Linked DNA regions of Schizosaccharomyces pombe. Changing the gene in region 3 together with the main gene of any one other region gives a genetic interaction. Each region holds a gene or a part of one and is shown on either strand. Other genes may lie near its edges.

Region 1 (6,494 bases), on a different chromosome or scaffold from region 3:
CATACTTCATGAGGGAGAATGGCTGGTCATTGAGACTTTTCCTTTTCCCTCAACTTCTGTTTATACAATGTTTTAGTATGAGATTCCTGGGCGAATCATTGCCTGCTTGATTCGAGAATAATGCGTGAGCTGTTCGCTATGTTCAATTCTGTTATACATCGCAATATGTCAAATGTTTTATTTCTCTATTCACTGTACATAAATGATACAGGATAGGTTCATCATTGCTTATAGTCAGCTGGATATTATTCATTGATATATAATGAGAGCCTAACAGAACCAGTATTATTCAATTTGGAAATGAACGATCTCAGTGTCAAAATATTCATCACCTTCATAGAAAAATATCCCAAAACAATCGCTAACTTACACTACCTGGGTACCGCGATATAGATAAGTAAATTACAAGGAAAATTCACCACAGCTTAAGGCATCATTAAAACCGGATTACAATTTCATGGTTAATATAAACGCTTAATTCTCTTTCAGTAGTGCGGTTGAATTCTCACTAAAACAGATTAACGAACTCTTCAATATTGCTCCCAATCATCCGACACACGGATTTACTCTAATCTACGATTGTTGATTACTTATTGCAGTTTGCACAGTTTTGGGATTTAGCTATTTTTCATTCTGCCTAATTATCACGCCTTACTGTATCGACGTTTCTTTGTTGATCTTTAACAACTGTCCTTATTTTTTGGTTTTTCGCGGATTTTTTTAATTAGATATACAGTTAACACTTCATTTGTCGGTGTCTTTGTTTTCTTTAATTGTATTTGTATATTTAATTGTTAATTCTTGTTTTGGAAGATTTTATACTTTTTTATTGGTTATACAGCAATATACTTTTTTGAAACTTGATTTTTTGGATATCCCGGAAGTTTTTTTTCTGCTTTTTTTTTTCTTTGGTTTTGTTAGGTCGTAGAAGCTTCACTATCTTTTTACCTAGAAATGGCTGCTAAACACGTAAAATACATGGCTTGTCTATTCGATATGGATGTATGTTTATTTTTCACACCACATTACCTCTTATGAAAGCTTTTGCATTAACAATCACTCTTTTTACAGGGTCTACTTGTCGACAGTGAAACTATTTATACAAAGACGACCAGTATGTAAATAATATATCTGTGCTTATATTTAGCACAAAACTACAATGTTTTCTAATCTTTATTTTTTTTATAGATCTTATATTGGACAGGTATGGCAAGGATCCTCTTCCTATTTCTGTTAAGGCTCAAATGATGGGTATGTTATATAAAGCTAGCGAAGAGATATTTTAAAATGCTTTCAAAATTGCAGGTCTAACTTGCGATACGTAGGGAGACCGGGTTCCGCAGCTGCCAAGGTTGTTATAGATTGGTCCAACATTCCTATGACTCCTCAACAATTCGTTGATGAACAACAGGTTATTCGGGTACGTACTTATACGCTACATTTATTTCCATTTCAACTAACTTTCTGAAAGGCAAAGTTTTGGTCGTCTTTGAAGCCTATGCCTGGGGCTGAATCTTTGATTAATAACCTCTCCAATCATGGAATTGATATCGGGGTATGTACTCATCCCTACGCTATAATAAAAGTGTGCTAACAGCATCACCAGCTTGCTACTTCCTCTAATACCGCAAATTATAATATGAAGACAGCCCATCTTAAACATATTTTTGAGAAATTTGGTAAAAATGTTATTACAGGTGATAATCCTAGTATTGCACCTGGTCGTGGCAAACCTTTTCCAGACATTTGGCTGAAGGTGTTGAATTTAATAAATGAAAGTAGGAAGCAGCGAGGTTTGAAGGCACTTACACCAAGCCAATGCATTGCCTTTGAAGACAGTATTCCCGGTGTCAAAAGTGCAAAGGCTGCAGGAATGCATGTCATTTGGGTTCCAGATGCTGCCATCAAAAACTTGGTAGGGGATCAGCTGAATGAGATTGTTGATTCTCAATGTGAGACGTTACCGAGTCTTTCAGAGTTTGATATAAACAAATATCTTAACATAAATTCAAAGCAGGCCTAGAGGTTATATCCGCTAACTTTTTTTTGGTTCATTCAATTTTTTTTGGCAAAAAACCTCATATCTTTTAATAAAATTAAAAAATTGAAGTATAAATAAAGTTCTACTGTTTCAATGAAAACCTTGAACTGACTCACATAGCATAAATAACTTATGAGTAAAGGGAAAAAGCGAAATCTAAAAAAAAAAAAATAATAACATTTCTCTGAATTCCAAAATCATACATTGTAATTTTTTTCCTTCTTTGCAAATGCCCTTGAAAAGTCAAGAAGCACCGCAGGGATTAAACGAAAGAGACTTATTCAGAAATTCAACTTCTCACTTTTGTAAAGCATATATCATAGAGACAGGATTAAAATAAAAAAGGACTAAAACAAGTAAAAAAAGAAGGAAAAGGAAACAGGTATAAAAGGAATCGCGATTCTTTAAAGGTGCAAAAGATTTAGGGGCTATAAGAAGATATATATATACTCACAGTATACTTTTTGAGGGTCAAATGACATTAAAAACCGCTGATTGCGGCCTGAAGCGAAAAAAAATAATTCACGAAACAGTTAGAGTACACTGACATGTTCAATGAGATACACTAGCAATTGCAGCTGCTTTCATTCTCGTTAGGCTGAATGCTAACGTCAATCATTTGAGTGCTTTGTGTTTCCACATTCTCCATGCCTGGTAACATTTGTGCAATTTTCCTAAACAACAGTTTTACATTGTGACCCGCTTTAGCACTAGTTTCCATGTGCATTATTTTTAATTCTTTTGCCTTTTTTTCTCCTTCTTCTTGAGTCACTTGCCTAAACCACCGTTAGCATAAGAACCATCAAAAACCAAAATATAGCTTTGGAATTATGAATGAAGAGATGTCGCATTGTAAATGCTGAATCTCTGTTAGCTGGAGTGTCATACCTTTTATCAGCCAAGTCCGTTTTATTACCAACGAGAACAATTATAACGTCGTCTCCCCGCTCAGCACGAACATCTTCAATCCATTTCTCAGTATTTACAAAAGAGTTATGGTCTATAAGTAGTTAGCAGATATTCGAAAATAAAGTCTGAGTAAAAATATATGGCAAAATTACTGTGCCACTATTACTTACTAGTGATATCGTAAACAATAATAGCAACAGAAGAATCCCTAATATACGAAGGAATTAAAGAACGGAAACGTTCTTGACCAGCAGTATCCCATAGTTGAAGACGAACCGTTCGATCTTCCAAATACATAGTCTTGCTTAGAAAGTCTATACCAATAGTAGCCTTGGACCCTGTTAGTAAAGAAGTTTTAATTATAGTTACTTACTTGATAAGTATTATCAAACTGATCGTACATAAATCGTGTAATTAACGATGTTTTGCCAACTGACTGCTCACCGAGAAAAACCAACTTAAATTTACGCAAAGAAAACGAGTAATTTTCTGACATTATGACAAAAAGTTTTGACTTCTAAATATACACAGACAAAAGTAATTTAGATACAGACGGAATTGCTTATTGATGATCAAAAAGCACCGTACTTAATAGTGGTAGTAGTGAGTAAAGACTATCGTGCTACAGTGAGATCCCGCCGCATATCCTTAATATACTTTCGCTTGTTTTACTTTTCATTCGCTTTTACGAAGTTTAATCTCGGTAAAGTAATTCTATAACAAACAACTTTTTCGCTGAAAAAGAAATCATGAACTCTCACCGTTCTTAAATTACTAAGCATTCCTAAAGATGGGTTCTTTTTCTTTGAGTTGTTGATAGTGATAGGTTTTTGGGTGTTAAAAAACATACAGCTGTAACAACAGTTTGTTTACTACTCATAGTTTTATACACAACATTTCAAGGAATGACAACTGGGATAAAAACGCGCCACATCGCATGGGAAGGAGGAGTCATCGAGATTTGATTATCATTAAACTATATAATACAAGAAATCTCTCGATTGGAATGGCCTAATTTTTGCTGAGAGTAGCTAAGTTTACAAAAAAATATTGGACACGCTGGGGATTGAACCCAGGACGACTCGCATGCAAAGCGAGCATGCTACCACTGCATCACATGCCCAAACATTGAAGGCTTCAGCATATTAGTAAAGTATAAGGTAATTTTTTTGTTTAGTAGCTGATGAAAGAAGGAAAATGGAAAGTAGTTAAACCATAGAACAAGCTTGAAATTCAACATAATGGCTTTATTCCATTTGAAATTTTATTAGAATGTTTCATAATCTACGCATCCTGTCTGCTACCAAGTTCAAGATTGGCAGACTGCACCAAACTGTTCGAAAAATGTATGTTTGTTAACTTGAATAAAACTAGCTGTTAAACGAGTCAGATTTAAGCAAAATATAAGCTTTACAGGAAAATATACTCGAGTTAATTTAGCAAACTCGGTCATTTCATTAATGATACAATTAGCTACGGAACAGCCAAGTCAAATTTTATACTTAATGTCAACAATAACAGGTTAGTTAGTGGGTTTTAATTTAATAATTTTCGAAATCAATAAAAGAGTAAATAGTATGGCTTTTCAAGCTTAGATTCTTTTAAAAATAAATTTTTTTTTTATTTGTATCCTTATTGCAATATGACGAAAAGTTCAAGAAAGATAAGAGAATTAAAAACTAAGTTATTTCATAATTATTAGCTGCTGTTTGGAATAAAAAATCTCGGAATTTAATGATAAGATGAAAAAGAATTTAAAAAGTAAATATGTAGTTATATATCCTATAAAAAATTTGGTTCAAACGATTAATTTAGATTATTTAGAATCTTTAAAAAGATAATGGGGTTAAAAACAAAAGAACTTGATTTTAGATTCAATTTAGAAATTTTTTTGTAAAGTGTCTTGATGTATTTCAATTTTTAGATGTGTAGCGCCATTTCATTTCACTCATGTTTTTAAAAGAGAAAAAAATTTACCTAGTTTATTAAGATATACAATTCATTCAGTTCCTTTTATCTTCTTCTATAATTCATTGTTTATTTACTTATTTATTTTCTCCAATGTCAAATTTATAGCACTTTAAATATCGCAAAATTTCAATATTATACGTTACAGCTCACAACTTTGTGTCTAAGCCCTCCGACTAATGTAGCTTACACTGCCTCTCCTTTCCCCATTTTCGACAAAATTAAATGAAAAATCCAATTTTTTGGCGATTCTTCCTTTTACTTATTTATTAAACACCAATTATTTCAAAAGGAAATTTTAAATTGTCTTTCCTTAGTGACGCTTGTTCAATAAGCCCCAAAGTTAGCAACCTTTACTTCATCGTACCATTATTGGCAGCCCAGGCATCGTTTATTTATATATTTTTATACAAAGCATTAGAAATTAACTTCGTATTGCATTTCTTTATTACGATTTTATTATAGGAGACGAAGTACGTATGAACGATGGAGTTTAGCACGAGCAGTTTCATTTTTGATGATGATACACCACCGAAGTGCCCTTTGGCAACAAAAGCTAGCTTTATCTTTTCAGTGTATATTATCATAGGCCTCATCATTTCTTACCTGTTACAAATCTTTCGCATTGTTCGTCTCGGAAGTTCGCAAGGCTTAAGTTTTTCTTACCTTATTTTGGGTTACATAGGTGTTCTTAATGCGTTCTCAAATGTCATTGCTCTACAAATTAGCCCTTTAACTGAATGCTGTCAAAATTACTATTCCAAAAAGCAATGCTTTGCTAACACAACCGGTTTAATTCAAGTGGGTTCTCAGGTACTTATTATGGGTTGTGTTCTTATGGCTTTCTGGATGTTTCTCCCTCGACCTATTCACTTTGTTGCAGCAGATGACGAAAATGGTTTACCAATCCCTGAGCCTTTAAGTGTAACGAAAAGTCGTAAATGGCGAAAAGCATCTTATGGGCTACTTGGTGTATTTACTTGGGGATTGTTTATCATCTGTCTATCCGCAACCGTCCTTAGTTCGAACTTTGCTTGGGCAGCATTCCTTGGATTTAGCGCTTCATTCTGCGCGGTCGTTCAGTATGTTCCTCAAATCATAAAAACTATACGCCATCAAAGCCATGGTGCCCTTAGTATCCCAATGATGATGATGCAAACTCCGGGTGGATTTTTGATCGGATATTTACTATCCAGGTTGCCCGGTACTAATTGGACTACGTACATGATGTATATTGTCAGCGCATGCCTTCAAGGATTGTTATTAATGCTTTGCATGTTTTATTTGCACAAAGAAAAAAGTAGAAGAAAGAGGGAGGAATTGCAGGCCACTTTACAGGAAGAAGAAAGTCAGCGAGCTGTACGAATTTTGGAAGCCGAAACTGGTCCCGAATAATAACATTTTCTTTATGTTTTCACGTCCCTTATCTATTTGTTTACCGAAAAAATTCCTAATATTTGTTTCATTCAGTTAGTAAGGTTTACTCTTCAAAAATTTTTTCCGCACATTAGAATTGGATTGCGTGATGTTATACGTTTTGCTTTTAAATCCATGAACCACTGGTATTTATTTTATT
Region 2 (5,785 bases), on a different chromosome or scaffold from region 3:
AACGTCGATTTAATCGACACTTCAAGTATCCTTATGTCTTCTTAAACGATGAACCTTTTACTACGGAATTTAAAAAAGCGGTTAAGGATGCTACGGATTCTTCTATTCAATTCGGTGTTCTCGATGATGAACTATGGAACTTCCCTAAAGATGTCGACAAGGATATGATAGATGAGAGTATTGCTGAACAAGTTGGAGTCGTATATGCGAACTTTCCTAGTTATCATAAAATGTGCAGATTCTTTTCGCGAAACTTTTACAAACATCCCTTAATGCAACAGTACGAGTGGTATTGGAGACTTGAACCGGAAGTCACTTTTTCTTGTGACATCTCTTATGACCCATTTTACTACATGGACAAGCACAATAAAGTCTACGGATACGTTATTGCTATCAAAGAACTTGCAAAAACTGTTCCAAATCTGTTTCGGTACACTGTTGCTCATCAAAAAATATCCAATTTACCAACTACCGATCTTTGGAGCTTCTTCCTTGATAAACGCTATGAAACGAGAATTAAAAAGCTGAAAGAAGAACAAAAAGATCAAGGATATTACGTTTTACCGGAGCCCCCTTTAAACCGAATTGATGGCCAGATTTATAATCTATGCCATTTTTGGAGTAACTTCGAAATTGCACGCTTAGACTTTTACAATAGTAAAGAGTATAATGAATATGTCGACGCATTGGAAAATGCTGGAGGATTTTGGACTGAAAGGGTATGTTTTTACAGTTTATTCAAAAAAAAAAAAGCATTGTGTTCTTCGAAGTGCAATCTTCTTCATACTTTTTTCCTATCTCTGATTACTAACTTATTTTAGTGGGGCGATGCTCCGGTGCATTCGCTAGCAGTGGGTCTTCTCCTTAATCGATCTCAAGTCCATTACTTTAGAGACCTTGGGTATCAACATTCCACAATTCAACACTGTGGTCAAGAATATGGTTGTAATTGTGATTGCCCCTTCAACATACCCGATTATGAAACTAAGCCAGGTTCTTGTATTAACGAGTGGGCATCGGTGATGGGGGGATTTTTAGATGAATAAGAGCGAATACGGGTACTTTACGCTCTTTGTATTATAGCTATTTACAGTTTCTTTCAATTCGTAGTATACATACATAGAATTTTATTTAATAAAAGAATTTAATATTTGGGTTGTTCTTTCATAAAAATAAGTTTTAAAAAACAGCAAGACAACATTTATAAAAAAGTTTATTATCATACGTAAGAAGAAAAATACCTTTAAGAAAAAAAGACTAAAGGGTAATCGTTAGGATTAAACGTTTACAAAATCGCAATAATTAAATAGTAATAAAAAAGCGCCAACCTTTGCAAGGCGAAATTTTCGAAAAGGTATATTTTTGTTTAGAAATAAAAGAGAAACGTAACGAAAAAAATAGGGAATTAGTACACAAGGGTTTATGAATACATTATCAGTAAAGCATCACGAAACCACGCATAAACGTATAAAAAATTAAGAAAAATAATAAACCAGTGGGACATGAAGCAGTCAACCTCCTAGAATCGAAAACGTAAATGTATAAGAAAAAAAAACAAAACAAACATCATCATTTCCAAAGACAAAAAAAAAAGGAGAAAAAAAATCATTAATTTACCCTGACGAAGACCAGAGACGAACACATTCGTCCCAAGAGCCAGTTGCCAACATTGTTCCATCAGAAGTTAAAGCTAAAGAGCTAATTCGATTTTCATGGCCTGTTAATGATGTGATGGTTTTGCTTGAGATGGAATCCCAAACCTCGCATGTTTTATCTTTTGCGATAAAAAGAAGTTTTCCAGACTTGGAAAATAAGACTGAATTAATGGGGGAGGATGATGGAGATGAATACTGGAATATCTCAGCAGAAGCACGAATGTCAAAGCACCGAGCGATACCATCCTCTGCACCCGTAACAAAATCAGCGTTAGAAGGAAAAAAGGAAATGGAATTAATATCCGATGTATTTCCGGGAAATGTGGCACAACAATAAGCAGCCCGAAGGTCCCAGAGCTTGGCTAATTTGTCACAGCCTCCGGTAACAAATAAATTGGGATTTGAGGGTAGGAAATCTAGAGAGACAATATCCATTTCATGACCTTTCAAAACGCTAATGGCTTTTGCCTGCTCTATGTCCCAAAACATGCAAGTTTTATCGCCAGAACCCGTAAGCAAATGACCGTCATCGACATACTTACAGCACGAAACAAATCCTGCATGCCCAACCAATTCGACCGGATCCGCATCTGGAACACTGGTATCGTATACTACGCAAAAGTTGTTCAGCCCTCCAGCTGCTATGCTCTTAGTGGAGGGTGAGAATGCACAAGTCATAATCCATACGCTTGGTGCTTCAAAGAACGCAACTTTGTTGGAAGTGTGCAAATCCCAAACTAACAGAACATCATTCGTTGATGCAGATAATAAGTACTTTCCATCTGTAGATATGTCGATGTCAGGAATTTTTCCCAGCTTGTTTTTGAGAACTCGAGTCCCTTGAATGTTGACGTTTACTCTTGACCCAGAATCCATCTTTAGAAATTGAACCAGTATTCCGTCTAATATTCATACAACAGTAACGTAACTGTTCCTATACGATATACTCACAAAGAAAGGGGAGGAAATAAGGATACTAAAGATCTTAGGAAGAAAAGCGAAAAGAATATAAATCCACCTGATAAACTACTCTCACAACAACAAATTTAGAATACTCCTACAGGGGTGCCCAACTTTAAATCCACCCTAAAGAGTAAAAAATAAAAGAAAAACAATACAAAAAAAAGGAAGAGAATAGTAATGGTGCTTCGTTTAAAGAATTGCAAGCTCTAATGTTAAAATTGGCGTTCGCCTTTGAAACAATTTTACGATGACAAGCCTCTATACAATCTATTATTCTAATACAAGCACAAAAACATAAACACCAAAAGGACCAACGTATCGTTTTTCAACAAACACAAAAAAACGGCTTTCTTCGCTTTTTTACTGGAATTTATGTAAAGAGCTAAGGTCAAAAGAAGAGTATTGGGAAACCGTCATAGTGTGTGCAGCGTAACACAAACATATGGAATACGTCATCCTCATCGTAAGCATATAATAGCCGATTCATTCTGCGGTTTTCAACTTGTAGACTACCATAACCTTGCCATACCGATAAAATTGTATGAAATGAACGTTTAGTTAATAGAGATAATAGAAAATTGAAAAACCTGCATTAGACATATATTTTTTTGCTGTTGTAGCGATTATGAGAAAAGGGTTGCTTTACCACGTTGGCTGTGTATCTGTGAAATGGCTTTGTTATAAATAAACAAGCAATTTAGTAACAGAGATGTAGATATTTTGGATATCTTTTTTATTTTGATTAAATCGTGAATATGCGATTCATGGCATATACTCAGAGTATGAGAAACGGCAGTATTGGTGTGCAACACAAAACTGTCTTGAAAGTTTTTTTGTCTCTTTCATTTTGTTCAATTTCTTTAACAATTACACTTAACATTTGACGGACAATACTTGTGTATTGGGTCGATGACTGTCTTCATTGCTTGGTGTATCCGGCGGTAAACAAAATGGCAAACATTTCTACTTTGCCCACAAATATATAGCTTCATGTGGTTGATAATGATTATTTCAGCACTGAAAATAAGAGGTTGATATACAATGAATGTGTTATTCATAAACTACACACGGTTATTAATGCCTTCTACTCCAAATGATTGCATCGATGGTTTCTGGACTGACTTAACATACAAAAATTTATTGTCATCAATGTTATCATGTGTAGCAATTGATTGGGATCTCTGCAATTTCAAATTCAGAAGAGAGATCAGTATTGTTGATGGGTTTTTTGGAAACATGCCAGTTTCTGAATTCTTCTTCTTGGATGTCAGGAATATGCAAAAGAATTTGAGCTGCCGTTATATGTAAACAATGTTGCACGACAAAACTGAACCACGGCAGCCCACTCAACGCTTGCATCAGCGATCGTGCCTTGTCGGACCATTGCTTGCAAAACCTTGAACACAATCCGATATAGTGTATTGATTTTAAGAATAAATTTAACTGCTCAACCGACATTCCATGAGCTTTGAACAATTGATTAATTGTGGAAATAGGAAATGAAAACGTTTCAATGTACAAACAGGGGGCAGATAGGACTTTTATCATATAAAGAAACTGATCTATGTTTTGAGGGCATGGGTAATTGGATCTGTACAGTTCCTCTGGGACCAATAGAGAGTGTTCTCCCTTAGTTATTTTATTTTCTAATTCGTCCTCCGAGCTTTCTATTCCGATTTGGGCGCTGGGCGAGTGATTTTCGGTATCATCCTTTGCATAAGTATTTGCCATGTAAAGCATAGACCGCATTGCTGAAAGATTCTCCTTTTTCAGTTCGCATTGCTGTCCACACAATTGGCAATTGTCGTGCACTTTCTTCCACCAGATCTTGCCACGAATTATATTAGGGTATTGTTTTCGCAATCCTACAGGTAATTGCTGAGAAGAAGCAACTCTAAGGTGTCTTAACTGCCATGTTTCTGCACATTCTCTGTAAATGTAATACACTTCCTTTAATCTATGAAGAGATTTTTGGATGTATGTATTGTTTGGGTCCAGTTCAAGTGAATGCTCCCAATCACGATTGGCTAAGTGAGGATGTCCAAGTCGCAAATAAGCTAGTCCTCTCCTCCATATCACTTTTTTATCATACGGATTGATGACTAGAGCATATGTACAGTCATGAACTACTTTAGTATAGCTGCATGCAAAATAAGTTAGTTAGCATAAAAGCAAAACTGCTGCAAAGGTTCAGACGATGTTTTTTTTTCTTTCGAGAAACCCCGTTAATAATCCAAAGGATTCTCTGAACCTTTGTGACATAGGTAATTTGTTAAATTTATTATGTTACATACGATTTTTTGCGCAAATGAGTTAATGAGCTATCGGCGTAAACCGGTGTAATGGTGTTTTCATTTCCAATTGCATTAAGGAATTCATCAAAAACATCTATTTCTCGTGTGTTCTGTTTATTGAGGGTTAGAAACGTTACAAACATCTTCTGGTAATCAAAGTAGAGCATACCTCTAGTGCAACATAATTGCTTTTTTCCACCAAGTTTACGTTCTCCTTTTCTTCCATTGCGATTTTGAATGCAGATGGTTCAAATCAGATGGAATGTCAATCTATTTGTTTATGTGGTAGAACAATATTGGAATGTATGTGTGAAGGCATATCATAACCATGTGCACTTTTGTAAACAAACAATAACTAAAATTATATTTTAAGCGATAAAAAATACGCAAATAAAATTAATTTAATATTTAGATATTCATACTTTATTACATTTCTGTAAAAATCAGGTTTTACAACCAAGAGCATTACTAATTCTATTTCATGTGGTAAACAAAGCAAAAAGCACGATTTAAAAGTGCAGTTTTTGAGACAGAGAGACGTTATTAGTTACATCGTACTTAATTACAATAAATATAAAAAATAAAATTAAAAAATTGACTTATTCCAACAATATAGAAACTTCATCGTGAAAAAAAGTAAGTCTTTGAAACAAAATATTCATTATTGGAAAAAAATATGTTTTTATAAAGAATAATATAAAATAATCCAAACCCCCCAAAAGCAAACAAAATCCTTATGCAACACGGTCAACGTCTCCAGTTGAAAACCAGAAATTTGAAAATAAAATTATCCCAAGGAAAAAAATCTGAGAAAAAAGATTGATAATTAGTTCTTAAAAAGATCTCGGAGTTTATATATTAAATGGTGAACTT
Region 3 (7,775 bases):
ACATGGTATTTGAAATTATAATATCATAGCTATATAAATAGAGAAAAACCTTGGACCTGTTAGTCGCATAGCACAAGACAGTGCAGGTGCTCTTCAAAATGAGAAAGGGAAATAAACATTCGCTTCGGCAGTAAGAAAAGACCTTCAATCCAGTAAATGTCAACTTTGTGATATTTTTACAGAATCGATTCGTTTGATAAGCCGGAATTGCTTTTTTCTTGTTTTTTTAATACTCTGAGTTAGTTCTTTCTGATTCTACCTTATCGACAGACAGAAGCCGTCTTCCGGTTAAAGAAACCATATATAACGCAACAGATTTTTTTATTAAACAAAAATAACTATTCAGTGAATGAATTTTAACTTATTTTCTGATTGCAATCACGTTTCGATCGTATTTAGTAATTGCTGGTGGTGATATTGAAAAGTCAAAAACTTCAACTTCAGCCACCATTATTAATAAATCGTATTCAAAAGAGTTTTCTAAGTTTAATGATCTAATTTTCATATTTGAAATCCAACTTTTACTTCTCATTTTACTCAAGCTTCTTTGATATTCTACGCATCGGATCATCACTTTGCTCCACCATATAGGGACGAAAAATTTTGCACATGAAGCAGGATGCCTCCTCAAAAGTATCATTGCAACGTCTGCGCCCAAGATATAACAAGATCCATTCATATTCGGTGCGTAGAATGTGTTGACTTCGATTTGTGCATCCCCTGCTTTACATCTGGTGCCTCCCTAGGAACTCACCATCCGTCTCATCCGTATAGGATTATTGAAACCAATTCATACCCTATTTTCGACGAAAATTGGGGTGCTGATGAGGAACTCTTACTAATCGATGCTTGTGAAACACTGGGCCTTGGAAACTGGGCTGACATTGCAGACTATGTGGGAAATGCTCGGACGAAAGAAGAATGTCGGGATCATTATCTGAAAACCTATATTGAGTCGGATTGCTATCCATTAGCAAGCGTAGAGCTCCCTGGACCGGTGGATCGCATAGCATTTGCGGCACGGAAACGAGCTCGTATTGAAGCTTTTCAGCCTCCACCGATTATTCCTCAAAAGCCTCTAGCATCTACACCCCAATGCCACGAAATCCAAGGCTATATGCCGGGCCGTCTTGAATTTGATCAAGAGTACATGAACGAAGCTGAACTGCCCATAAAGGATATGAATTTTGATGACGATTTACACGAGTCAGCAAAGCATGAAATGCAACTTAAGCTGACTATGCTTAACATATATAATTCCCGTCTTACTCGTCGGGCTGTTCGTAAACAAACCATTTTCAATCACAACCTTTTAGATTATCGACGGCTACAGGCGAATGAGAAGCGCATGTCAAAAGAGGAACGAAACTTACTTAATAAAACAAAAGCATTTGCTCGACTTTTGACGGGCCCTGATTACCAAAAGTTCGTGAACAGCTATCACGAGCAAATAACCCTAAAAAAACAAATTTCTGATTTACAGGAATGGCGACAGATGGGTCTTACTACACTCGAACAAGGACATAAATATGAACGCGATAAAACGCAAAAATTCCTCTTAAGTAAAGCTTCTGCTTCATATGATAAGCAATTGAGGCATGTTAAGTCGTTTAACCAAACCACTTCCGCTCCTTTTCAAGTTCGTGACATTCAAAAGATTGTTCCTCGAAAACCAGCGACTCCCACAATGTTTTCTGCTTCCGCTGATCGGCAACTGCTTTCAGAGGATGAGCAAGCGCTTTGCTCAAAACTGCAGATTTTCCCTAAACCATTTTTGGCTCTAAAATTTGCCTTAATATCGGCTTCACTGACTTCCAAAAAACCATTTCAAAAAACCGATGCAGTTAATTTATTTAAACACTTAGACGCTAATAAAGTCGAACAGGTGTACGACTTCTTCCATAATGCTCGGTGGATTGGCGCTCCAACCTAAAAGTACTGGTTTCTTTTACCTTTTTCATATTACTCTTGTTTATTACCTTTACGTTTTGAAATGTAATTTTACTAATTACCCCTTCACCTTTAATTACATCTCCGTCTTTTTTTCCCTTTTCAATAGCCGTTACGTTCTTATGCTTAATAATTAAAAAGAGTTTTCCATCAATTTTCTACACTAGTAATTTCGGAAACTACAAGAACAAAAAACACTACATCCAACAATATCTGAGACTTTTTCTCAGCTGACAAAAAATAAATAATCTTCAAAGACTTGAGGTTGTCAGTAATAATAATAATAATAATGATAATAATAATAGTAATAGAAAATGATCTTGTACGACAAAAAAAGATGACAATAATGAGAAATGAACGAAGCTTTGGCCTTTATAACATACAAATATGTAAAAGAGGCAAGAAAAGCGGCATGTATGAGTAAAAATGAGAAAACTTTCAAAATAAACAAAGAAGTGTCAAATTCATCACCTAATGACACTTCCAGGTGCTATTGTATTAATGTCGTCGGATGTATCAATGGTTGTTGGTCGTTGATAGCTCCAATTGGCAAACCTTTGTTGAACGGTTTCAGATAAGTGAGAATCGGCAACAACACTATCCATTGGGATTTCCGATGTAAATTCAGAATCAAAATTACTAGTATCGATAGCTGATTCAACGCTTGGTTTAAAGGGTGGCTGTATCTTCTTGGCGCATAACTTTTTCCAGTCGATATCATCAAAGAAAGGGTGATTTTTTATTTCTTGCGCCCCTCCACTACCCAGCCGCTTCTCTGGAGCGCGGGTCAACAATCCACTCAATAAATCTTTTGCTTTCTCGTCAATGTTGTCTGGGAATCGCAAGGGATCTTGAAGAATTTTTCGGTACATTTCGTTTATATTTTCATCATAAAAAGGAGGAAGTCCTGTAATCATTTCGTAAAGTAGCACACCTAAAGTCCACCAGTCAACAACTTTTGTATAACCATGACCCAAAAGCAATTCAGGAGCGAGGTATTCAGGGGTGCCACAAAAAGTATTCGTTCTATCGGTTTTAGCCATGTTTAGCTTACAAAGTCCAAAATCACACAAAGCAATATGACCGGTGTAGTCTAATAATATGTTTTCCGGTTTTAAGTCTCGATAAATAACGTTGAACTCATGCAAACATTCCAAAGCAACAAGTAGTTCAGCAATGTAAAATTTGGCACGATATGTATCAAAACAGCCTTCTCTTTGTAAGTGATGAAATAACTCACCACCGTTAACAAAGGCCAGGACAAGATACAGCTTACCGGGAGATTGAAAGGAGAACTTTAATGGAACAATAAAAGGGTTATTAACTTGAGCAAGTACTGTCCTCTCAGCCAATGTGTGATCTACTTCACTGCGAGATACAATGTGGGCTTTTTTCATAGTTTTTAAAGCATAGATACGAGAAGTGTCACGCTTACGCACTTGCATGACTTTTCCAAAAGAGCCTTTGCCAACCACTTTCAATAGTTCAAATGCATCAATGGTTAAAGGGGTACTTTGATTGGGTTTGTAAAGCATTTGAACACGAAGTTCACCGCTACCCCCATGCAGGGGTACCCATTCGTCTGTAAGCTTGTTTACAATGAAAGAAGGCGACAGTTTAATCCCGCCTAGGAAAGCGTCATTCCCCATACCGTTGCGCGAGCGGCTGGATGAAGAACGAAGGTAAATATTCAGGGAGAGTTTGGAATAACGGGAAACGTCAAAAGTTGCCTGATAATCCCAGCAAGGATTTTCAAGGCTTGCAGTATTTAGAGCATCTACTAAGATTTCATTTTTGTCGAATTCAACGACGATATAAGGTAACCACCAAGCATGACTACGAGACCTTGCGTGTCCCGAGCCATTACTAAGTGGAGGGGCAAGTAAAGAATTGTCAATGGAAACCCCGTAGTTGGCAGGAACATGTCCCGACGGTAATTTTAAATTTCTAGCTTCTATAATTGTGACCTGCAATAAACCAGGCTGCACGACGGTACTTTGGGGAGACCGTTTATCCTCCGAGCTTTTCCGAGATTTTTCATCACTTGATTTACGAGAAGAAGTAGAGGATAAAGTACTGTTTTTCAGACCTCTAGTAAAACTAGAGCCGCCAGAGTTCAGGCCAATAGCGGATGCTAGATGAGTTTCTTTTAATTCTAAAAAGCGAAAAGCTGTTAGTATGAAAAAGAAAGACAGAGTGTGATAACCCGTATTATGGAATACATACTCTTTGTAAGTTTCCAGGACATTTCGGTAACGTCTGTTTGGAGTAGAAAAAAAAAATGAACTGATTTTTAAAAGCTCGCTTTCCCTCTATCTTTTCTTTTAATATAACGAAAATGATAAAGAATAAGGTAACGAGGCTGCAAAAAAGCTTCAATCTAACAAAAAACGTATTTATGGACTAATTCGAAGACAAAAACGGGAAGTGTACCAGTAAGCGAATACGAACGAACAATCAAATCAAATCCAAAAAAAAAATAAAATAAAAAGTAAGCACAAGTTGCAATTTTTTTTGAATAAACGAAAGGGGATACAGGCGTTTGGTAATGTCAGTATAGTAGTAAATTCGTCAAAGAAATCTAATCCCGATAAGTAGTAAGCAAGGGTGTTGATTTTAAAATTCAAAATAAATCGCAATCTCTTTTATTCCAAAATCCCTACTAAAGGAATGCTTCGTTGATAAAGTCGATTTCTAAGCCGATTTTGGTATTACGACTTTGAGCAAAGTCGCCTTCACCTCGCGGAAATTTTGACGAAATTGAAACCAATCGACAGCACTAAATACGTTAAAGTCAATGAAATAAAATTTGATGTCAAAAATGCTTTCGTTTGATATTCCCTTTGTTAGGTCGTATTGGCAGTCAGTAGATGTGGCCAGCTCGGATCATCCGTATTCCTAAAATACAAGTGGTACAAGACAGCAGCTTTTTGCGGCAGAACAACGTGAGTTCGATAAAATATTATAAGGAGAGCTACCGATACGGTCGGCACATTACGCAGGTTTGTCGTATAATGATCAAAAATTATAGACCCTTTTCTCGTACGATTGCACTATATATAAAAGTTCTTTGCAATGGTGTTTTACATATCAGCTATTAAATTAGTTAACTTAGTAATGTCAAAAAGATGGAATATTAATATAGAGAAATTAAAAGTGCTGGTGTACTCTTGTAAGTGGTAACTTGCTCAAGTTTGTAGTGACCTAAATTGAAACATAGGATTTATACTACACGTGTCAAGAAACAGCACTCAAATGGATCAATTTACAAAACGAAGTATATAGCAAAACAATACAAATAATTATCTTGACAATTATCTGCGGACAAACGCAAAATGCCGTTTACGCGTATGTGTAGCTTAGCAGACCAATTAACTTTATTTGTTTTAAAATAATTATAGAAGCATGTAAATACCACCGTTAGGATTGCAATATCCTCTTTACAAAACAAGTCATTTATTTATGCCTTCCATCAGATTTTTGCAACTTCCAAGTACGATGCGTTTTGTAAAATTTCAGTTCCTTGTGCAACAAGCGAAAAAAAAAGATAAAGCAATTTAACGGAAAAGCAATTTGTATACCAATGCTCTACTTTTAATACACTGGACGCTTCGTACAAGTCCTTCAAAGTGTATATAAATCCAAAGAGAACTGAAAAACAAAAAACATTTTCAAATAAAATAAAATAAAATAACATATAAAACAGAAATAAAACATGAACAATGAATTTATGAAAAGAACGAAATTTGTTGAAACTGATGACTCACTCAACTGTAGGCAAACCCTTACTTACCCATGAGAAAAGCAAATTCTTTTCGTAGTTACTTCTAGAAGGCTCCTCACTAGTAAAAGCGATGTTTCTTCAGAGTTTTGAATTTTCTCACAGAGAGCTCCCTTTGTGTGTTTTATTTAAAGGGATGAGACGAGTTTGCCAAAGCGCCTAAAAAAAGAAACCGGTTATCGAGCGCAGATATAGAATTGACAGTGTAAGTAGCAACAAAAATTTTAAAAGAGTAAAGTAGAATCAAAAACTATATCTAAGTTTAGAAAATCCCTAAAGAGAAATTTTCAGGTGAATGTTAGGGGGTAGGTTCCGGTTGAATTTTTAAAGGACTAAAGCGGCAAAAGCAGCAATGCTCAAGAGTGAAACAATCAATAATGAACTCTTGGAAAACCGGACAGGGGACCCACTCTCCATCAATTCGCGCCCTGTATTGGGAATGGATGCTGCGTATCCAATGGATCCGGCAGGTGCAGAAGTGTAAGTAGTAGATGGTTGATATTCGGTGTAACTATAAGGACTAAAAATAATATTAGTAATTTTACACAAACAAATAGTTTCCATAAAATGACAAGCATGACTTACAAAATGGTTTCTACACCATCCGACCAAGATTTGTCGGTGACAATCACAACATCGCTCACAGTAGTAGAGTAACTTGCCTGAGTTGAACTAGAATCATCATCCCTCTTAACAAATGGGGTCAAAGGAATTTTTGAGGGCAAAACACGATTAGCTAAATATACTGAGTTAGCTATTTCACATAGTCACAAAATATAAAGACAGAGACATAGAGAATAGAGAAGGGATGTAAAAAGAATACCAAAGTTTAAATATTAAAATATTTAAACAATGATTAAATGACAAAAACTCGGTCTACGACATTATACAACATTAAGTGCACGAGTTGGATGGACAGCAAACTTTTTACATAGCCTCAATGTACTTACTGTAGAGCAATTCAATTTCAGATAAATGCTCGAGATCTCCAATGGGAGCCACCAAAGTAGCGAAAGCACCCTGAATGATCAAGAATGAAGCAAAAACCAAAAGCGATGAAACTTTTCCAAACATTTTGCAAATGGATAAGAAGTACAGCTTTTAAGCACTAGATAAATAAAGAAGAAGGGAATGGTTTATCAATTAGCAGCACACAGCAAAGTAGATATATATACCAATATATATGCCACTGGTTTAGGTTAATGTTACGTACACGCACCGTGACAGCCGTACCTATTCACTTCCTCAAAACAGGTAACAAGATGTTACTCCCATAGAATTGTTTCAGGTAAAAACATAAACAAATCAGAATTTTATTATTTGAATTGGTTTTTTAGTTAATTTAATTAAATGTGAACAGGGAAATGAAGAAAAAATGTTTTAGTTAGGCAATTTTCCAAGTTTGGTTGTAGTCCAAAGTCATTTGTAGTAAAAATGTAAGCCAATTTACTACTGAAGTCCGCAGACTAAAAGTTTGAAAGGACTGTAAACTGGCCGGGAAAAGTCCACGAAAGATTTGATCTTGTAGTATATAAGCATAGCAATTGGAATCGTGATGGTCAAATTGCGGAACATTGACATTGCGTATGGAAAGCGAAAAGAGTATCCTAACACTTTATATTCATTTAGCATCTTCCAAGTTAGTACAGAAATTCTTTACGAATTGCAAAGCAGGAGTGTCTTTTAGCTAGTGCTTAAGATTTAAATAAAGAGGGAGATTTGAAAAAGAAAGAGACGTACTTTTTTACAAGTTTCATAAATCTATAGTCATCGATTACTGTAATGAGGATCCAAATAAATCATGATTTGTACTAGCCATTTAAAAACAAGAAGGGTCTATACATACAAGTCTTGTCTATAAACCTTAACGTCAATATTAATAAATGGTCCAAATTTGAAGAACAAAAATCATTTCATTTTAAGAATAAAAAAAGCCCAGACAACTTCACATCTCTGAAAGTGTACTGAACAAATAAACCATCTTTTAGATTTTTTAAGCAGGAGGTATAATGCACCCTTGTTAAACCACTGAAAACAGATAAGC

What was found. Genes that interact genetically often act in the same process or in processes that back each other up.
Region 1: of gad8 (region 3) and ryh1, a mutation in one rescues a mutant of the other (synthetic rescue), as found in Schizosaccharomyces pombe (2 studies listed by BioGRID, with this or other methods).
Region 2: of gad8 (region 3) and git5, extra expression of one rescues a mutant of the other (dosage rescue), as found in Schizosaccharomyces pombe (one study listed by BioGRID).

What each region holds. Positions count from the first base shown.
Region 1 is NC_003424.3:1,191,591-1,198,084, forward strand, and holds ryh1 (Rab family GTPase Ryh1), read right to left. Parts: upstream 3,556-6,494; 5' UTR 3,447-3,555; coding exon 3,324-3,446; exon of another isoform or gene 3,281-3,323; coding exon 3,121-3,280; intron 3,044-3,120; exon of another isoform or gene 3,042-3,043; coding exon 2,930-3,041; exon of another isoform or gene 2,818-2,929; coding exon 2,607-2,817; 3' UTR 2,024-2,606; coding exon of another isoform or gene 1,607-2,023; 3' UTR 1,556-1,606; coding exon of another isoform or gene 1,472-1,555; 3' UTR 1,421-1,471; coding exon of another isoform or gene 1,326-1,420; 3' UTR 1,252-1,325; coding exon of another isoform or gene 1,189-1,251; 3' UTR 1,115-1,188; downstream 1-1,114. Other genes in the region: pseudouridine-5'-phosphatase Pud1, read left to right, coding at 955-1,002, 1,072-1,114, 1,189-1,251, 1,326-1,420, 1,472-1,555, 1,607-2,023; SPOM_SPAC4C5.03 (multispanning membrane protein, CTNS/PQ domain protein), read left to right, coding at 5,405-6,313. UniProt on the Schizosaccharomyces pombe protein: Has a role in retrograde traffricking of proteins from the endosome to the Golgi. Involved in protein transport to the plasma membrane. Involved in the secretory pathway where it has a role in acid phosphatase secretion.
Region 2 is NC_003423.3:1,461,072-1,466,856, reverse strand, and holds git5 (heterotrimeric G protein beta (WD repeat) subunit Git5), read right to left. Parts: upstream 3,009-5,785; 5' UTR 2,532-3,008; coding exon 1,614-2,531; 3' UTR 1,112-1,613; downstream 1-1,111. Other genes in the region: putative alpha-1,2-mannosyltransferase Omh5, read left to right, coding at 1-719, 822-1,046; mug93 (TPR repeat-containing protein), read right to left, coding at 3,774-4,758, 4,913-5,022, 5,082-5,138. UniProt on the Schizosaccharomyces pombe protein: Beta subunit of the heterotrimeric guanine nucleotide-binding protein (G protein) involved in glucose-induced cAMP signaling.
Region 3 is NC_003421.2:909,540-917,314, reverse strand, and holds gad8 (serine/threonine protein kinase (AGC family) Gad8), read right to left. Parts: upstream 4,816-7,775; 5' UTR 4,199-4,815; coding exon 4,177-4,198; intron 4,106-4,176; coding exon 2,418-4,105; 3' UTR 2,077-2,417; downstream 1-2,076. Other genes in the region: SAGA complex subunit Ada2, read left to right, coding at 620-1,933; SPOM_SPCC24B10.06 (uncharacterized protein), read right to left, coding at 6,056-6,251, 6,317-6,467, 6,682-6,805. UniProt on the Schizosaccharomyces pombe protein: Involved in a signaling module for sexual development and cell growth under stressed conditions. Required for G1 arrest under nitrogen starvation and for growth at high temperature and osmolarity.